Linked DNA regions of Astyanax mexicanus. The protein of the gene in region 1 interacts with the protein of each later gene in a pairwise test. Links are inferred from orthologs where the notes say so. Each region holds a gene or a part of one and is shown on either strand. Other genes may lie near its edges. The genes, in order: tyrosine-protein phosphatase non-receptor type 12 and pstpip1a.

Evidence for each region.
Region 2: the proteins of tyrosine-protein phosphatase non-receptor type 12 (region 1) and pstpip1a interact in binary tests that used the Homo sapiens proteins (3 or more experiments, as listed by UniProt). The link is inferred for Astyanax mexicanus from reciprocal best matches to the Homo sapiens genes PTPN12 and PSTPIP1.

The regions. Positions count from the first base shown.
Region 1 is NC_064409.1:36,015,363-36,024,677, forward strand, and holds the start of tyrosine-protein phosphatase non-receptor type 12, read left to right. Parts: upstream 1-4,723; 5' UTR 4,724-5,112; coding exon 5,113-5,211; intron 5,212-9,315. UniProt on the Homo sapiens protein: Dephosphorylates a range of proteins, and thereby regulates cellular signaling cascades. Dephosphorylates cellular tyrosine kinases, such as ERBB2 and PTK2B/PYK2, and thereby regulates signaling via ERBB2 and PTK2B/PYK2.
Region 2 is NW_026040047.1:1,867,209-1,876,523, forward strand, and holds the start of pstpip1a (proline-serine-threonine phosphatase-interacting protein 1a), read left to right. Parts: upstream 1-3,996; 5' UTR 3,997-4,461; coding exon 4,462-4,494; intron 4,495-5,802; coding exon 5,803-5,903; intron 5,904-5,998; coding exon 5,999-6,073; intron 6,074-6,229; coding exon 6,230-6,264; intron 6,265-6,358; coding exon 6,359-6,465; intron 6,466-6,581; coding exon 6,582-6,644; intron 6,645-9,315. UniProt on the Homo sapiens protein: Involved in regulation of the actin cytoskeleton. May regulate WAS actin-bundling activity. Bridges the interaction between ABL1 and PTPN18 leading to ABL1 dephosphorylation.

The DNA.
Region 1 (9,315 bases):
AAGAAATCAGGCAGGTCTTTGTTGTGACGGTTCTACATAGAACTATGCTAGCTGCCAGTAGAACAGGCTTGATGTTGTTGGGGAAAAAAAAAAAGTGTGTGTATGTGTGTGTGTGTGTGTGTGTGTGTGTGTGTGTGTGTGTGTGTGTGTGTGTGCATGTACGTACACTGCAGAAGTTTTAAGTTGGTGAAATCCAGGCATTTCAGAAGTGTCCAAACATGTCAGCCTCCCTCCAACATCCCAAAGTCTTCCAAACATGTGTAAATCAAACTCGAGTGTGTGCTGGATCAGGCTGGCTAGGCCTTGTGTTGGTGTGTGTGTGTGTGTGTGTGTGTGTGAGGGGATCGGGGCCTGTGTGCTTAACTTTGTAGCTCTTACTGCTTGACCTGTTTCTGTTGAACTGTGAAAGCAGCTCTGCTCTTTCTCCTTCTCAGAGAGAGAGAGAGAGAGAGAGAGAAAACAGAGACAGAGAGAAAAAGAGAGAGAGAGACAGAGAGAGAAAGAGAGAGGTTCAAGCATATTGTGTCAGCTGCATCTCAGTGCTGGTTTCAGCCTGAGGGTTACTCGTCGACACAGTGATTCTAAAAGCCCGTAGTATTGCTATAAGCCACCATGTCACTTTTGGATGATATCTGTTGAAGTTATCTGTAAAAATAAAAACTTATTTAGTCAATATTTAGTTTATCTTTACTGTAACATACTGAGGATGATGCTGATATACAATATATAAAATTTTAGATAAGAATCTCAGAAAAAAGTACAACAAATGGTAACACCGTTAAACAAATTTCTATTAAACTATTGTACTGTAACTTATAGTCCTCTTTTTATTTTTTAGTTAACTGCAATCTAAATATTTATATACAGATTTATTTTGTACATTAAATATTATTGGCAGTGGGGAACAGGTAACTGTACACATTTTCTGGCCGGTGTTATCACACAGTCCAGTAGATTGGAAACACAAGGTTCAGGGGTCATTTTCTTTTAAGAGTTATTAGTGTCAAATTAAAAAAGCAAGCACTATCATGGAAAAATGTAAATGCAGTTCACTAACATGCAGAATACGTACCAAAATGAACTGCAAAACCTCTGTTACATTACATTTTACTGCATCTCTTTATAAAAAAAACAATACACAAGAATTTACATTTTCATAACCAGCTCACAACGCACAGGATTGTTGTCTTGGAGCAGTGCAGAATTTGTGCCAAAATGAAATGTAATCATGGTCCAATCAGAACCCACTACTGAACTTGGGGTGGGGCTGGGAAAACAGTCAGAAGGGAGCACTAATAGCTGTACTTTAAACCAGAGAAAATGTCTTTTGCGACAGGATATAAGAGCAAATAAACACTCTCAGTTTCTCAGTCCCACCCCAATTTCAGTAGTGGATTCTGATAGTTCTGATAGTGGGACAGTGATTACATTATGTTTTGGCATGAATACCATGCTGCTCCTAGACGAAATGCAATCCTGTGCATTGTGATTTGCTTTCGAACATTTGCAGCGCCACACTGTGAAATACAATGGCATTAATCTGATTGCATATTAAGGTTTGGTTGCAATTCTGACACAATTTTTTTGCGTATGGTAAATTTTCAATAAAGAGATCAAGTGCAGTGAAATATAATGTAATCTTCCAATTTGGCACTAATTTCTCTCCATAATTTACCAATTAAGCAACCAAAGGCCAGTTTTAAGTGTTCTAGTTCATAGTAGGCTAATCACTTCTAGTGTAATATTGGTACATGAGATGCAGTATCTTAAAGGTCATATACAGTATATCGTGCAGTGTTTCACCTTGTTCTAGCTGTCCATGCATATTCATAAATCCACCAAAGTATTGGATTCTGGTAACACAACTGGTTTCCAGATCAGCAACATGGCACATGTAAGAGCACTGAATCACATCTACTGATTGTGGAGTTGATGAGGATTGCTGTCAGTAATTGTTCCCCTGCATGGTTTTACAGGTAAACTGTACCAAATGTCTGAGCCCAGCCAGTGGGTACAGTTGACATACTGTAACTTGTCACTGCTGTTAATCTAGAAACTATGTGAACAGAATTAATGAGGACAAAAAGAAAAAGAAAAAAGTGTAAAGGAGAAATTCCTCAAAGTCTGGAGTCTGAGGTGTTCATAGTCCACCGTCTGAATTCTAATGCCCACTCTTTTGGTACTGTGAGAGCCCAGTGCTTTTGCCCGACACTGTGGAGGGGCAGCTGGCTCTTTGACAGCTTGGGTCCAGCGTGCCCCCACAAACCAGCCTGAATGGGGCGTTTTGTTGTCATTGACGGAGCCAGGGGAACCAGGAGCGCTGTTTCTGGTTCCTTATTGAGTCCAGTTTAAGCATCAGCTCTACTTAAGGGGATCTTGGCCGTCTGAGGCCGAGGGGAATTACTGATGAATAAGGTTCCATTTAGCTCTCGTGTGGTGATGATTCACTTCAGAGCTTTGAATTCACTGCATTTCCTATAAAACCAGGCCAGAGACTCTTTTAGAGAGTTAATATTTTCGTTAGAATGGGAGAAAAGCAAAGGATTTTTCTATAATGTATAGTGTAATAACTTTATTTAGCGTATATAATAAAAACAGTGCATCAGAGTTCGACAGGATTAGTTAAACTTGCTGTGTATGTCTAATCAGACAGAAGTATATTAAATCAGTTTTACTTAGCAGTTACTTAACAGGAACTGAAAGCACTGAATAGTGTAAAATACAAATACATTATTGTACACCATCTGCAGCATTTCCTGTAAAACACATAGTTTCAAGCTCTTTTCACATACAGTATTTTATGCTGTACATTTTATACAAAGAGTGCTAATAAATGTATAGCATGTGTACACAATGTACAATTATCTGTACAGACTCCATTTCTGAATATATTTTTTGGAATTAATATAGACTTTCATATAGGACATAAAACAGCCTTGTGATAACGCAGAGCTAGTTGTATTCAACAGTTCTAAATGGTCTAGTTGTTTTTTTTATATATATATTCTCCAAAATCACCTGAAATTTACTCTTTTTACATTGACTTCCATTGAAAGTGAAGAAGATTCTTTTTTGAAGATGTTTTTCACTGGTCAGCAACAAAAGATTGTTTGTATTCTATTCTTATAGCCTGTACTGTGGTCTTGCAGTGTAGAAATAACATTTACATGATAATTATTAATAGTAATATTGTTATTTGTGGGTAGAAACTTTCACCTAAAAGCATCATGAGTGTAGATTGAGAACCCTAACATTAAAAACCTTTAAATGAATGAAATGATTCAATTATTAATGCCTATTAGGCAATGCTAAATAAAGGTTGTTTTCCATCATCAACTTTAAAAGAATGTTTATTCAATGTAATATGCTACAAAAACAACACAGAGTGTCAATTCTAAAGACAAGTACAGAACAGACAAGGGTCATCATGCTTTTTTTATTATAAAGAGAATAACATATGAATTAAAAGTTAATACAGGGAGGGTGTTTTGGCATGAAAGTAGCTGAAATGACCTACCTGCATTAGTCCTTCATTATCTTTGGGGTCAATTTGACCTTGTTTAATGTTTAATGTCTTTAAATAAATGATATATGTATATGCATATTATATAACAATTTAATGTTTACAAATGAAGTTTAAAAAAAGATTGCGTATGTGAAATAGAGGCAGAGAAAGGTGTTCCCCTTGTGTGAATATTTATGAAGCGCATGCAAAACATAGAGTGTTCTGATTGGCCAATCGTTTTTTAGTGTTGGCGTGTTCAGGATCATTATGGCTCCCATCAAAACTCATTTCACCTCTGACTACTCTAAAGTATATCCATGTTTGGTAAAAGTAAAAAACAATAAAAGTCTTGCCTGCTGTACAGATAATAGTAATAGTGATTTTAGCAATACTCTCGGGGGACTAAATAATTGCAAAAGGCATGTTGAAGTGAGTTAATGTGATATATATCACAAGGGGGGAAGGGGGTGTCCAAGTCCAGGTCCGGGGGAACCTACGTGAAAATATTTTTTGCAACTAGGTTTGTCTGCTGTATGTATTGTATGTATTTAGCCCAGCTTAGCTTAAACTATTTGGTGCCTGAAAAAAGAGGTACATAATACACATAAATAAACCAAGTTTTGATCATGTTGAGTTAGTAAAACTCCCCGAACTCCTACTGAACCGCACTGTTGTGTACCGTGTGACACCCCTGAGCTAAACAATCTTAAACCCTGCTTTGTGAAATGCTCCCTCCTCCTCTCTGTGAGAATTAGCCTGAAGACAGTGCTGTTCTGAACACTGAACAGCTCCCTCAGCTCACTCAGACACAAGTAAAAGGCAGAACAAGCCCCGTTATATCTGACAGATCAATGGTGTTAATACTGTAAACACGACCTGGTTCTGGGAATCGACATTCCTGTTCTACACAGACACACACATTTTTCTGTTTCTCGATTATCCACACGTCACCCTAGCGGTGGGCGGACCCGAGCGAAACGCGACTGGAATCTGCGTGGGAGGGGCTTACGGGCTTTCAACCAATGGTAAACTTACTCAACTGAGCACGTGACCACCAGCCTTCTCTTTTACAGCCAGCGACTCGAAGCGTTCGCGTTAGTTTGATTGACACCGGGGCTGTCCAATCAGGCGCAAGCTGCCGTGGGTCACAATCCAATCACGGAGCGTCCTTCCCACTAGAGGGTGGCAACGTGTCCGAGCGGCTTTTGGGCGGTCCAGCCAGTTTTGTTTCAGAGTTTAGTTGTTAATGTGGCAGTGAGGAGACAGGGAGGGGCGAACCGGCGTTTTGTTTGTTGTTTTTTTATTTAGATACATTTAAAAAGTATTAATATTAACTGCTTGGTGCGTTAAAGGAGGAGTGGGGACATTGTTACCTACACCCTAAGACTGTAGCTTAGCTCACCCGCTTGGATTACATGTTGTTTTCTCTCATCCGGGAGCACAGGGGAGCATGGAGCGGTAGAAGATGTTGGAATAACTGTCAGAGAAGATTTTTCTTCTTTAAGATATTTATTTAATTTATTTTTCTATATTTTTTTCGTATTCGGGAGTAGTTAACGTATCTAACTAACCGTGGGAGCAGCAGCGCTCAGGGACCGGAGTTGAGGATGGAGCAGGCGAATATCCTGAGGAAGTTCATTCAGGGGGTTCAGGCCATGCGAACAGGGGACCAGGGAGGAGAGGACAACTTCGGCAGCGACTTCATGGTAAGAAGAAAGAGGAGGAACAAGAGGAGAGACCGAGACCAGCCACACTAACACAATAAATAACCTAGTTAATACATAATTAACACACACGATCGCACTCTGTCTCTGCTGGTTTAATAGTTAGTTAGTTACCTAGGTAACTAGTTAGTTAACTGGTTAGCTTAGCTAACAGTCCTCCACCAGTGTGAAGCTGCTTTTACAGTGCCCCCTTTTCTCTCTCTCTCTCCCACTCCAGACTACTGTTCCCTGCGCTGAAGCTTTGTACAGTCTGTACTGACCTGTAGTTAGCTAGGGTTAGTTAGAAGGCTCCGCGGTGTTATGTCCAGTTATGCTACCCATCGATACGTGCTTCCTAAAGGCAATGCGCATGCGCTGACCTACACCTTTTCATTATTTCTCGCGTTTTTAAATAATAAATCATTTTTTGTGCATTAAACAACCTGGACTCACTGTCATTACACAAACGTGTAAATGGAAGCGAATATAATTTATTCAATAGCTTATAATTATTATTATAAAAAAATATATATATTTATATAAACAAAAGCAGTTTCTAATAACCCCTCATTGCCATAATAGTGATTTATGCTATCCATATATACTAGCTAGCTATGTCTACTGGGACTTTTACTGAGAACATGCTGTAATAAGGTGCTTCTTTTATATTTTTACAGTTAAATATACACACCAGGGCAGCACGGTTTGACAAGGTAGCACAGCTCGACAGAACACCGGCTGCGGCCTACGCCGACTTAGCTGCTGTAGAGTTAACTTAACATAGCTTTTTCTGTAAAAGCCCTGTAAATGTTCCTCTATGAACGGTTTAATTTACAGGCTGCGACTTGTAGTTAAAAACCCTTATTGATGTTTCTCTCCTGACGGTTAGCCGCAGCTAGCTAAATGTGGTCAGAGGGAGAGATTTCTACATGAGTGTGAGTGTGCTGTTGGGTCACATCCCTTTCTTAACTACATACCAGCTGGGTTATTTAGTTAGCTTTTATTTAAAACGTCTCTTTAACGTGTACGACAAATTTGTAACCTAGCTAGCTAACAGCTAGGTTGGGTAGTTAGCTAACTAGTTAGCTATATGTGTAAGTTACTGTATTTTCCCAAACATTAGACATAAAGCTAGTTAGGTAGTAACCTATGGTTACACGCCACTGTGAAAGCCTCTAATATTAATACTAGTGAATATTTACAGCTGATAGCTAGTTAACTAACCTATATCTGAATGGAGAGCTTCTGGTATTAAGAAACTGCACTACATATATTCTGAATTTACGGTTATAAGATGGGTTAGGACTGGGAATAGGTAGTTATCCCGCTTGTCACTTTTCACGTCTAGAACGCCTTCTTTTTGCCACACTGCTCTACTCTCTCTCTCGGCGTGTTCAGGGCGGGTCATGTAGGTGAATACTGACTGTCAACACTGTGGAGAGAACATGTTTAAATGTCTGGCTAAAATGTTAGTCTGCCTTCTGTATAAACTGCCAGCTAAATCTCTGATGTTTAGGGTTTATTTGCACTGTGAAAATCCCGGTTACAGACTTTTGTTTGCTGGCTAACATTTGGACACAGCTAAGCTAGCAGCAGCAGCCGCTAACGTTAACAGCGTCTTTGTCCAAAACCAGCGCTGTTCGCTGGGAAGCAGCGGGCGGCTCGGGCTTGTTTCTGCTCTGTTTAAAAAAAACAGAAGACAGCTTCTATAAAGAAGTCAGCACGTATGTGTATTTTCCGGAAGATATGGACACGTTAATGGGATAGTTAGTTAGCTAAACGGGCGGTTTATGGGGGTCCAGCGTGGTGGTGGCGGCGGTGGTATGAGGGAGTTCCGCGGATGTTGCGCAAGGAGCTGAGCCGTTTAAGCACAGAGAGGAAGAGGAGGGTTTCTCACTCAGTCCAACACTGAAAAAAAAACCCTGAAAACCACTGAAATAAACACGATAAACTATTGATTCCAGAATATAACGTCAACATCAGGGATAGCCGAAACATTATACACGTGTGTCACGTTGGAAGGCATTTGTTTTAATTGCTTTAAGTATGGACGATATGGCCCTTAAACAATATCACGATATTTCTTAGTATTTTCGCGATAACGACACTTTTGGCAACATGGCAAAACACCGAATTACAAAATTATTTCAAGAATACACTACTGCAACAAAATGAAAATCAATGATTCAGAATGTTGTGATACTAATAATGCACTACAAATATCTCCACATATCCAAAACTGAAGTAAAATAAATTATACTGGACAGATATAATCTGTCTATAGTAGATATATAATGGTAAATGAGAACAGTGTGAATTTTTCTTTTGCTAAAAACAGCAAAAAAGTAGTACCCTGATGTGATAATATTGGCAATATTATTGCGTACCATACAATATAGCAAATCCCTACTTTAAATGCCTGTACTAATCAACTAGCGTAATAATCATGACTGTAGACTGTGACTGTAGTCACACAAGTCATAATAACTAATGTGGGGAATATAGGGATATCCCAGCTGGGATCCAGACAGTTTGACCATGGTCTTGTCCATGTGGGTCCCACATATGGATGACTGATTGGACCATGAATGGTTACACATGGGCCCCATTTGGGAGATGCACTGCACACACAAGCTTAAGGTGGGCTATAATGCTGGGACCCATTTAGAATAAGCATGATGACTGGGACATTGGTATATAATAGCTATGACATGACTGTAGAATGGCTTAGGGTCCAATCAGGGACCCAGAACCTATTAGGACTGCATTAGACAGTAAACACTTTTTTATAATCAAAAATATATAATTTTAACATATTTTTATTGTGGTATATACAAAAAGAGACCACTTAAAATGATGTGTTTCTTTGATTTTTATTGAAAACCTCCTGAATATAATCAAGAGGAAGATGGATGACCACAAGCCATCCAACCAAGCTGAACTGCATGCATTTTTGCACCTGGAGTGGCATAAAGTTATTCAAAAACAGTGTGTAAGACTGGTGGAGGAGAACATCCTGGGATGAATGAAAACTGTGGTTAAGGTTCGGGTTATTTCACCAAATATTGATTTCAGAACTCTTACTTGTTTTCTTTGCATTATTTGAGGTCTGAAAACACTGCATTCTTTTCTCATTTTTCGCAAATAAATGCTCTAACAATATTTATATTTGGAATTTGGGAGAAATGTTGTCTTTAGTTTATAGAATAAAACAACAATATTCATTTTACTCAGACATATACCTATATTTAGCAAAATTAGAAAAAAATGATTTAGAAACTGAAGTGGCCTCTTAATTTTTTTGCAGAGCAGTAAGTTAAATTATTATAAATTATTGTCCAGCCAAATTATTGTCTTTTTGTTAAGATTTGCTTGATTCAAAATACAGAAACCTGTAGAATACCAAGATAGTCCTGATTACTGTATCCTACGAAGGTATTGCTGCTGTTGTCAACAGATATATGAAAGTGTGTTAGGCCTCTGTTTTTCTCTTTTGAGAAGTTAACATGCTGACCTGTAATGTACATTTGGGGAAGAATCTGTTGGTGAAATTTGACTTAATGTAACTTCCTGTAGGTTGCTGTTGCACATACTATACTATGTTGCCTTCCTTTCTGTATTTATAGTTTGTTTAAAAAGTCCATAAATATGTGCTTTCCACAGTTGCAGCTGGGCAGTATTTTGCAGTGGGAGGTGGGTGGGTTATTTAGTGACCGCGATGCCTTTTTAAAATCATTTAGTGATGCCATTAGATGAACTCTTATCTTACATTTTCCATTTATAACTTCTAATAACTTCAACTCTAATATGGGGTTTTGTACTGAAAACAGGTATTACATTTACACAACATCCCTCATTAATTTGGGGCTTTGTGTCGTCCATTTCTGCACAGTTTTCATGGTTCTGTTTATTTCTTTACATGGTTCATGTCCAGAGAATTGTGGATAACCGAAGGCTAAGGATGCATTAGTTGCATCCTGTAATTTGCTTCTTATGTTAGCTGCATTTCTTAGCTCTATATGAAAGGTCCTTATGTAAAAAGACCAAGTTTGCATATTTTGACTTCTTTTTACTGAAAAATGATTGGTACGTTTCATATTTTTTCCT
Region 2 (9,315 bases), on another chromosome or scaffold:
GAATCCTACACCGGATTACTTACCACTAGAGGTCCAACTCAAGACGGCAAACTCAAAAAAACAAAGAAGAGAACGAAAAAAAACCCAGAAAGAGAAGAGAACATTCAAGCAGGGACTGACAGTGATGAGGATGACTATGAATACCACTGCATAACTGTGCCACAGCCTCAATACAGTTGCAACACTGGACGTGATATTCAGACAAAAGCTCAAGAGCCAGCTGTACAAACTGAGAATCAAGTTCTTGGATTGGAAAATGTGCCCCAGCAAAGTGAGGCCCACGATAGGAACTGTGCTCTGGATCAGGACATTCAGCCAGAGATGTCTGCTCAAGGGAGACAAACAGTTGAACAGGATAATTTCTTTGAGAGAAGCGAATCACTCCCTCCGTGTACTGCTGCTGACAGCATTGATGATGAAACGAAGGCAAAGTACAAGTATCAACGACCCAACAGAGAGAAGCGAGCACCAAAGTTATTCACCTATGACCAGCTTGGTACCCCAGTATGCTATCTAGCTTCTCTTTCAGAAAGTGACACTCACAGGCATTTTCCTTGGCCTTGGGATGTGGAACATACAAGACAAACATGGATGGACCCTACACAATTTTACTTTCCCCCTGGGCATTACTGTTCAATGCATTTGCATAGGAACTGAGTAAAAGACATCCTGGGAATGTTGATGGACTGTTCACCTCTGTTCTTTCACGCATACAAATATGTTCACAACATTCATAGACTGTGAACAGAGTTGTTTACATATACCTACTAGGGATGGACAACACCTGAAAGAACTTTCACACTTATACATTTGAAACATACCATGAACTGTGATAAAACAGATTGGTCATGTACACATACGATGGACACAAACTAAAAAGAAACTGAACTGACACATACACCCCTGCTCACAACACTTATGGACTGTGGATAAGCAGAGTACCTGATGAATATGGACATGAACTAAAAGGACTTCCACACACACACACACACACCTATGCTCACAACACTCATGGACTGTGGATAGACAGAGCAGTTGAGTACACTTACCCAATGGACATGAACATAAGATAAACAGACTTTCCCTCTCACATGCGCACATATGCTTGCAACACGCATGGACTGTGAAAAAGCAGAGCACACAAATTTGCAGAATGGAAAAAAAAAGGAAAAAGAAGACACTGTTCATGTTAGTGGACACTGATAAATAGAAATACATTTCCTTTCTGCAGTAGAGACTTACCTAAAAGAACAGAAAGGAGTTTGACTGTTGGCTATATACAAAAAAATGGTTGAAAAAAAATGTAATGTGCAAACACATTCTTTGTGATGTCGGGACGACATCTATATTGGTGGGGAGTGTGTGATATACTGAAAAAAGGGAGATAAAAAATATCTATATAAATATATATATGTAAAAAAGAAAAGAAAATATATAGAGAAAAAGGAAAATAGTTCTGTGTTGTTTTGATATTATTACTAGTCACTGTATTTCAAGTTATTGGGTTATTACTGTGTACACCAGTTGGTTGAGCCTGTGCTAGGGGCGTGTCTAGTTTGGACTGAGTGAGGGGAACAGAGAGCACATGCTGAGATTGCATCATACTAAAGTTATGCTGCTTTGAACACTCATCAGTGTGTCCTGTGTTCATTAAATTTGGTATTTTCCACTATCCCCTCTCTCAGGGGCGTAACAAACACTCCCGTCCTATACAAAAAAAAGCACACAACTTATATTTAACATAAATTTTAAATCCAACATAAATAAGAGTACACACATATAAGAATTAGGCCTTTATGTGCCAAATATCTACAACTGCTGTTTGTGAACTTTCACTTCAGCAAAGGCAACCACAATTTCTTACAGATTAATATAGCAGATTTAAGAATTCTGTTGTCTGAGAATTAGAGAAACGCACGCATGCTTTGGCTTTGTGCATGGATGCAACTAGACACGTACCCCTCTTTTAGGGTGTTTTCACACCAGATCAGTTAATGAGTTTGTTTACTGATCTGAACTAAACCATCCTTTACCCTTTATAAACCTAACAGAAGGAGTTTAAATATCATCAGATAATGAGGGTCATGGAAGTAAATAAATGTAGCAATATATTTATCAATAAATATATAAATAAATGCAGAAACAGCCCTAAATAAAGGTTTATGCATGGAAATATTTTAAGTGTGTACTTTTAATGTATTTATCTATACAATTATGTATTTATATATTTATTTATTCATTTATACTTCCATTTATTTATTTATGCTTATGTCACTTTTCTGCCTCCATATTTTGGGACTTTTTCAGTCCCATCATGTTTTTTATGCATATGCATGCCTGGCTGGATAAAAAATGCAGAAACGAGTATTTTTCTGCCTGCGGAGGATGTTTTTAACATTGTTAAATGCTGAACTGGCGCAGGCTACACTGGGTGGGCAATCGGGGAATGAAAATGTCATTATACTACAGAGACCTGGCCTTCCTGCTCAGAAGAGTGTCCACACAGTCCTGATAATAGTGAAGTTTGGCCACAATAGCACAAGGCTTGCCCCCCCTGCTGCCTCGGTTGCAGACGGTGGTAAAACTCGATCCAGACATCTCCTCCACATTCAGAGTTAGAATATTCGTGCTCCTCATTCGTCCCTTCAGGTCGACTCGTTTCTCCCGCAGAGCAGCTACATGTTTGCTAAGCCTGTGCACGGTTGTTTGCAGAGTAGTGATATCATCTGAGCATGTGGAGCGGCCATGCTCCATTTCAGTTTTTGTTTCACACTATCCATGTCCGTACGTAGCACAGCCACACTGCTACCCTTAAAAAAAGTTTCAGTGACATACTAAACATAATTATACATCAGCAATAATACATGAGATGGAGTGCTATAATGTGTAATATTGGCACTACTGTGCTGCAGTCGTAGGCATGCGGCCGTAGGCCAAAAGCTCGATTTTTGTCCCATCTGACCACAGAACCTTCTCCCAATCACTCTCAGAATCCTCCAGGTATTTATTGGCTAACTAAAGACGGTTCTGCACATGTTCCTTCTTCGACAGGAGGACCTTGCAGCACTGCAGAACTTTAATCCATTACAGCATAATGTCTTACCAAAAGGTTTTCTTGGTGACTGGGGTCCCAGCTGCCTTGAGATCATTAAGAACTTCCCCTTGTGTAGTTTTAGGCTGATCTTTCACCTTCCTCATGATCAAGTATACTCCACGAGGTGAGAGTTTGCATGGAACCCCAGATTGATGTTGATTGATAGTCATTTTGTATTTCTTTCATTTTCTTACAACTAATTCACACTTTTAATGTGACAACGTGCTTAGCGGTACGCCATCCGCGCACAGGAAGAAGGAGTAGGCGGCGGAGGTTTTAGTTGAGAAGAGAGTGTTTTAAAGCAGCGAGGGAAAAGAGCGACAACTTACGAGGCAAAAACGACTATAATAATGGAGCATTTAGGCTGAACAGCGTGTATTCGCTCTTGTCTCCCACAACAACACACTTTAATGCTGCACCGACTCAGCCTGAGGAGTTTATAAATAAATACATGATACCGGCTCTGTGAGACGGACTGGCGACATCTCTGCTGTTCAGAAGCTAAGACACACAACATAATGCAAACGTTTATGCCTTTTTATTGATTATTCCCTATAGTTTTGATACTTACAAGAAATCCTTGTTGAAAAAAATTTAACTTAATTGTTTTAAAGTACTAATTATAAAAATAATTATTATTTCTTTATTTATTTCTATTTGTGTTTGCTGTTTGAAATGTATGCTGTGAAGTTAAAAATATAACTTTAAAAAAGGAAATCAATTGGTCATTTATTATTAAGTAAAATGTCTTGTTTTCTTGAGTATTTTTAATTACTCTTTAAGCAAACAAATATGTCTTATCCAATTTCTCAATAAATCAAATTGATTTTTCAGTACAGTACTTGATTACTAAAATAATCAATAGCTGCAGCCCTAGACTGAATTATTATTTCTCTCTGCAAAATGCAAATCAATTGATATAATTTATACAATTTGATATTTTTTTGGATTTTATTTTTGATATTCTATTTCTCACGGTTAAAATTAACCTTCCCTTAAAATTATAGACTGTTCATGTCTTTTACAGTTTGGAAACTTCAAATCAGCAAGAGATTCAATAATTATTTACTTCACTGTATAGTGTAACCTTCTGTTCAATTTAGCATCTTCTATTTCAGGAGGTTCATTATGTCCAGCGTTTGAACGGTGACTAAAACAGGCTGTTATCTACAGGGCGCCTGTGGTCAGTGACATAATGCAGAAGCTCTTCCTCATCCTAGTCGAACACAGGCAGCACAAGTGAACTGCTGTGAGGTCTTGGGTTTCCTGTGTGTACTGCTGTTGTTCCTTTTTTAACTGAAAATTTGACTTACTCACTGCATTTCGCTGGAGTTTGCGCTGGAGTAAACAGAGCTACAGAGGCTGAGATGACACCGTTACAGTTTAAAGATGCGTTCTGGGTAAGTAATCATGTGTTAAGATGTTTTAGAAGTTTGATGTTTCAGCTGAAGTCCATGTGTGGCAGGTGTATATCTGGATATGAATGTTCCTTTTTGAACTGTAACGTTCATCTTGTGTTTCTTGTACAGTTTTAAAGAAGGATGTTCCACGTTCTAGGCTGTAGAGTGTTGTCATAAACTGGCAGAATGGTAGTCTGAGAGTTGTCAAGTCAAGTCAAGTCAAGAGGCTTTTATTGTCATTACGTCTGAGTACAGGTACACAGTGTGATGAAATTACGTTCCTCCGGAACCATGGTGCAACATAGAACCACAAGCAATAGACAACATAAAGTGCAGGAGTGACGACAGTGCAACATAAAATTATAAAATTATAACACTAAATAACAATAAATACAATAAATACAAAAGACGAGACAATTTAAAGACAGGACAGTGCAGTACCTTCTACGTTGTGTGTAGAAGTATGGTAGAAGTATATACTCCCCTCTTTTATGTATGTATGTATGTATCTATATAATATATTCTACACAATCCACTCTTACTGTCCATTCTAAATAAAACACTAAAGCAGATATCTCGTAGTTTAATGGTCAGAGAATAGCGTTCCCTGCCAGGAGGTAATGGGTGTTTCTGTAGTTTTTAGAGCGTGGGGGGGATCGGTAATCAGGTCGGCATTGTCAGGGTAAACCACTTCCACTCTTTTTGCGGATTCTCTTCAAGAATTGTTCTCCCCTGGAACTGCATGACACATGTGGCTTTGATCTTCAGCGATATATGTATACATATATATAAAACAACAAATCTTCAAAGCAGCACGGAACGTTTCTGGGTTCATTTGCATCCTAGCTCTCGCCTCATAAACCTGTTTTACCTGATGCACTTCCAGAGGTCGAGCTGTTCCCATGATTAAAAAAGTACATTCTGGATCTGCTTCTGCTAAAGTTTTAGATTTATAGGACAGAAGTGTGGCTGTAAAGAGTCTAAACGAGATCATCCCGCATGTGTGGAACAGCTAGAATCTAGACGTGGCATTCTATTTGTGAGCTGAGCCACCAACGGTTTAATTCCAGAATTCAGGATGAGTAACATGACATGACGCACTGGTAGTAGTATGGAAAGATGATCTTGTGATGTGAATTAGCCTGAAATACACCACGTTGTTGCTGTGTTGGTTTAAACAAGCCTTTCCTGATTATAATTTCCTCTAAATGTGAACTTATTAATTAAAAATAATTTATGGTTATATGAGCTGAGAAAAACACTTTATCTGGATGGTGAAGAGATAACACTTCCTCCACTGGCACTTAGGGCCCAGACTTTGTTAGCAACGCCGGGTACGAGGCCCTCACCCAGAGGCTCTACGATGGCCGGCGGGCCTGCAAAGACATGGAGGAGCTCTTGAAGATGAGGTGATCTTTTAAATTGATTTACTTTCCATTTGAATAAGATTTGAAGCTCATTTAGACGTGATGATGTGATGAGAAGGGGCTTCTGCTCTTTGCAGGGCGATGGCAGAAGAGAAGTATGGCAAAGAGCTAGTGGCTATTGCACGAAAGGCTGGAGGCCAAAGTGAAATAGGGTAAGTGGTTAACTTTTAACTCCTCCGCACAGAGTGCTCCACTCCTGACAAGGTACTAATCCACACTACTGAGAATCAGGCTTAGGACATAAGCAGAAAGAATGTGGATGTGAGACACATCCATATTAGTAACACGTTCCTCATTTCTTCTTGCAGCACTTTAAAGGCTTCGTTTGACCAACTCAAAGCACGTAAGTGGCAGGGCGGCACGTCCCGCTGGTTTTATCAGTTATAATTTATGCACTTAAACTGGACCACAGACACTGATGTTTAATTTACAAACAGAAATCGAGAACATCGGAAACTTGCACATCCACCTCTCGGGGATGTTAAAAGAAGAAGTCAAGCGCATGGAGCAGTTCAGAGAACGTCAGAAAGAGCAGCGGAAAAAGGTGCGTCCGTGCAGAAAGACACAGTGGGTTTTATCCTGACCTTCATCCTCTATCTGTCTCACCAGCCCACACTGAGGCCTGGCAGGGCTCTGATTATGAACCTTTCTCTATTGCAGTTTGAGGGAATCATGGAGAAGGTTCATAAGACCAAAGTCTCTCAGTACAAGAAGACGATAGAGGTGAGTCTCAGACTTTCAGATAAATCACAAAAGCACGACCCGAGGGGCAGGGGCAGATACTACCCGCCTCACTTTTCACACTCAGAAAGATGTGCTGCTGAACCAGAAGATCAGTCAGGAAATTACACGTCTATAAGTGGCACTGAGAGAGTGAGAGAGCGAAAGAGCGAGAGAGCAGGAAGAGGAAGAAGCATTCAAAGTCAATTTAAATCGGTGTGCATTTCCGTGCCTGTGTGTGTGTGTGTGTGTGTGTGTGTGTGTGGTTTTTGTGTGTGTGGTGGGGTCAGTGCTCAAAAGTCCCACATCTATTCCTCATTAATATTTTTAAAACCCCACACACACACACACACACACATAAACCAACGCAAGTTTCCCTATTCCTCTCATAGATTGGTAATTTCCTCAAAATGCGGTGTGTTCTCACACACACTCTTGTACTAGTGTGTTCTGAAGATCAGGACAGTTTTAAGATCACAGAGTAACTGTTTAAAGTGAATCATCTTAAATCTAATCTAAACATATATTTCTGATTGAAATTATTTACTACTGAATTATTAATCGTGTCCCTTATTTAAGTTACTTAAGGTAAGAGACTCTGTGCTATTGCATTGACAAATAGTTAATAAACATATTTTAAAATGTTTTATCAGATTTTCTCCCCAGTTTATAAGGCCTATTACGCAACCCACACAATAGGTGACATGTGAAGTCAGACTCCACCTATTTTTGAACTGCTACTGATGCAGCATTGCTGAGTAGCATCATAGCACTAACGCTCGACACGGAAAGCACAGCGACTCGGTTCTGATACATCAGCTCACAGATGCAGTCTTGTGCTGATCCACATCACCCTTTGGAGTTGTATGGGAGGAGACAACAGGCCTATGCCTTTTCCCCCTAATGCGTATTCCGTCTTTCCAGTATTTTATATGAGACTTAGGTGAGATACTAAAATAGACTAATCTAACTCCAATTTATGAACACCAACTAGGTGGAAATAAACAGTTAGCCATTATCAGTAGCACATATTCTAAGATTAGGTTCTGTCTAACAAAACCAGGTTTGGGTAAATAGTTCAGTGATAGGAGATATGGGCATTAAAGCTACACAACGATACGGCGTAACATGTGAGAACAGCCTGATACCGGGGTGTTCAGCGGTCCAGAACTTAGTCTACACTAGCGGTTACAGAACATAACACTCAATCTTATCTGTTTCCCTCAGAGGGTAAAATATGGCATAGCCTAAAAATGACTGCATAACATGTGAAAACAGCCCGGCACCTCGGTTGAGATGTTCAGCGGTCCAGAACTTAATCTACATTAAGAGTTACAGAACATAACACTTAAACTTTCTGATATAGCGCCTAGTGAAACTCACTATATAACTATGGAAGTCCAGAAACTAGTGTTTCATTATTATTGTGTTATTAATTTTTAGTCTTTTAAAATGCAGGCATTATTTGCCTCGCAGAGTAAGGCTTATCTGGCTTTTACTTTGCTTAATGTGCACCGTATGTATGAAAATAGATCAGAAAATAGACGATAGTGTGCCTTATAATAGGGTGCGCATTATAGTGGTAAATTCTGCCTCATTTCGATGACAGAGACATCAGGGACCAGGACATTTTTTTTCCAAATTAGCAATAACTAATGTCAGCAGCGAACTAGCTAACATACTAATGTTATTGGGGAGAGCACTGACCTTATCAACAAGCTAGTTAACACACTAACGTTATTGGGGAGAGAACTAAAGCTAGTGATGAGCTAGCTAACTTTAGTGATGAGCTAGCTAACTTTAGAGACAAACTAGCTGAAATACTAATGGCACCAGGGAGAGAAGTAAAACTAGCATTGAGCTAGCTAATCTTAGTGCTTGTCACCTTAGTGATGAGCTAGCTAAAATACTAATGTTACCAGAGAGAGAACTAAAGCTACTGACATTTTAGCTAGCTCACCACTAAGGTTAGTTAGCTCATTAATAAGATATTCTAATTTAGATTAATTGACTTCATGTGGTGATTTCTGATTAAGTTTTTGAAGAGACACAGAATAATAATTCTGATAATTTAGATTAATAGAGATTATACTTTAATTTTTTTATTTTTGTATTTTAATCTTGGTCTTGGTCTCGGTTTTTCCAGGTCTCGGTCTTGACTTTAAAAGTCTTGGTCTTGACCCAGAAATTACTAATACTTGACTCGGAAATACTAATGTCCGAGGTGAGAAGTCGGGGTGTTGTAAAGACCATTAGGGTACCGCATTGAATAATATTACAGAGTGATGATGAAAGAGCGTTTCTTGGGGCTCCAACAGCTGCTAATGGCAAGCTGCATAAAGGGGATTCGAATCTGCAATCTCAAAATCATAGTAAAAGTGCTTTAAAACAATGAGACACTTTTGTTAGATAAACTGATTTTCTCACTGTTTCTAATTAATCTAAAAATGTATGTAAACTGTTAAATAGTAAAGTAGTATGTACATTCTGAACGTTACTAAATTATTAATAATATGATAATAAAATGTTAAATATTTACATTACCCAGCCAACACACTAATGGGGGCCTCAAATAAAAGCAAAGCATGTTCTAGGTGGTTCCATTTTTACAGGACCAACATTGAACTCACAGACAAAATGGAAATGTTATCTGAGTAGATGTAAGATATGCTTT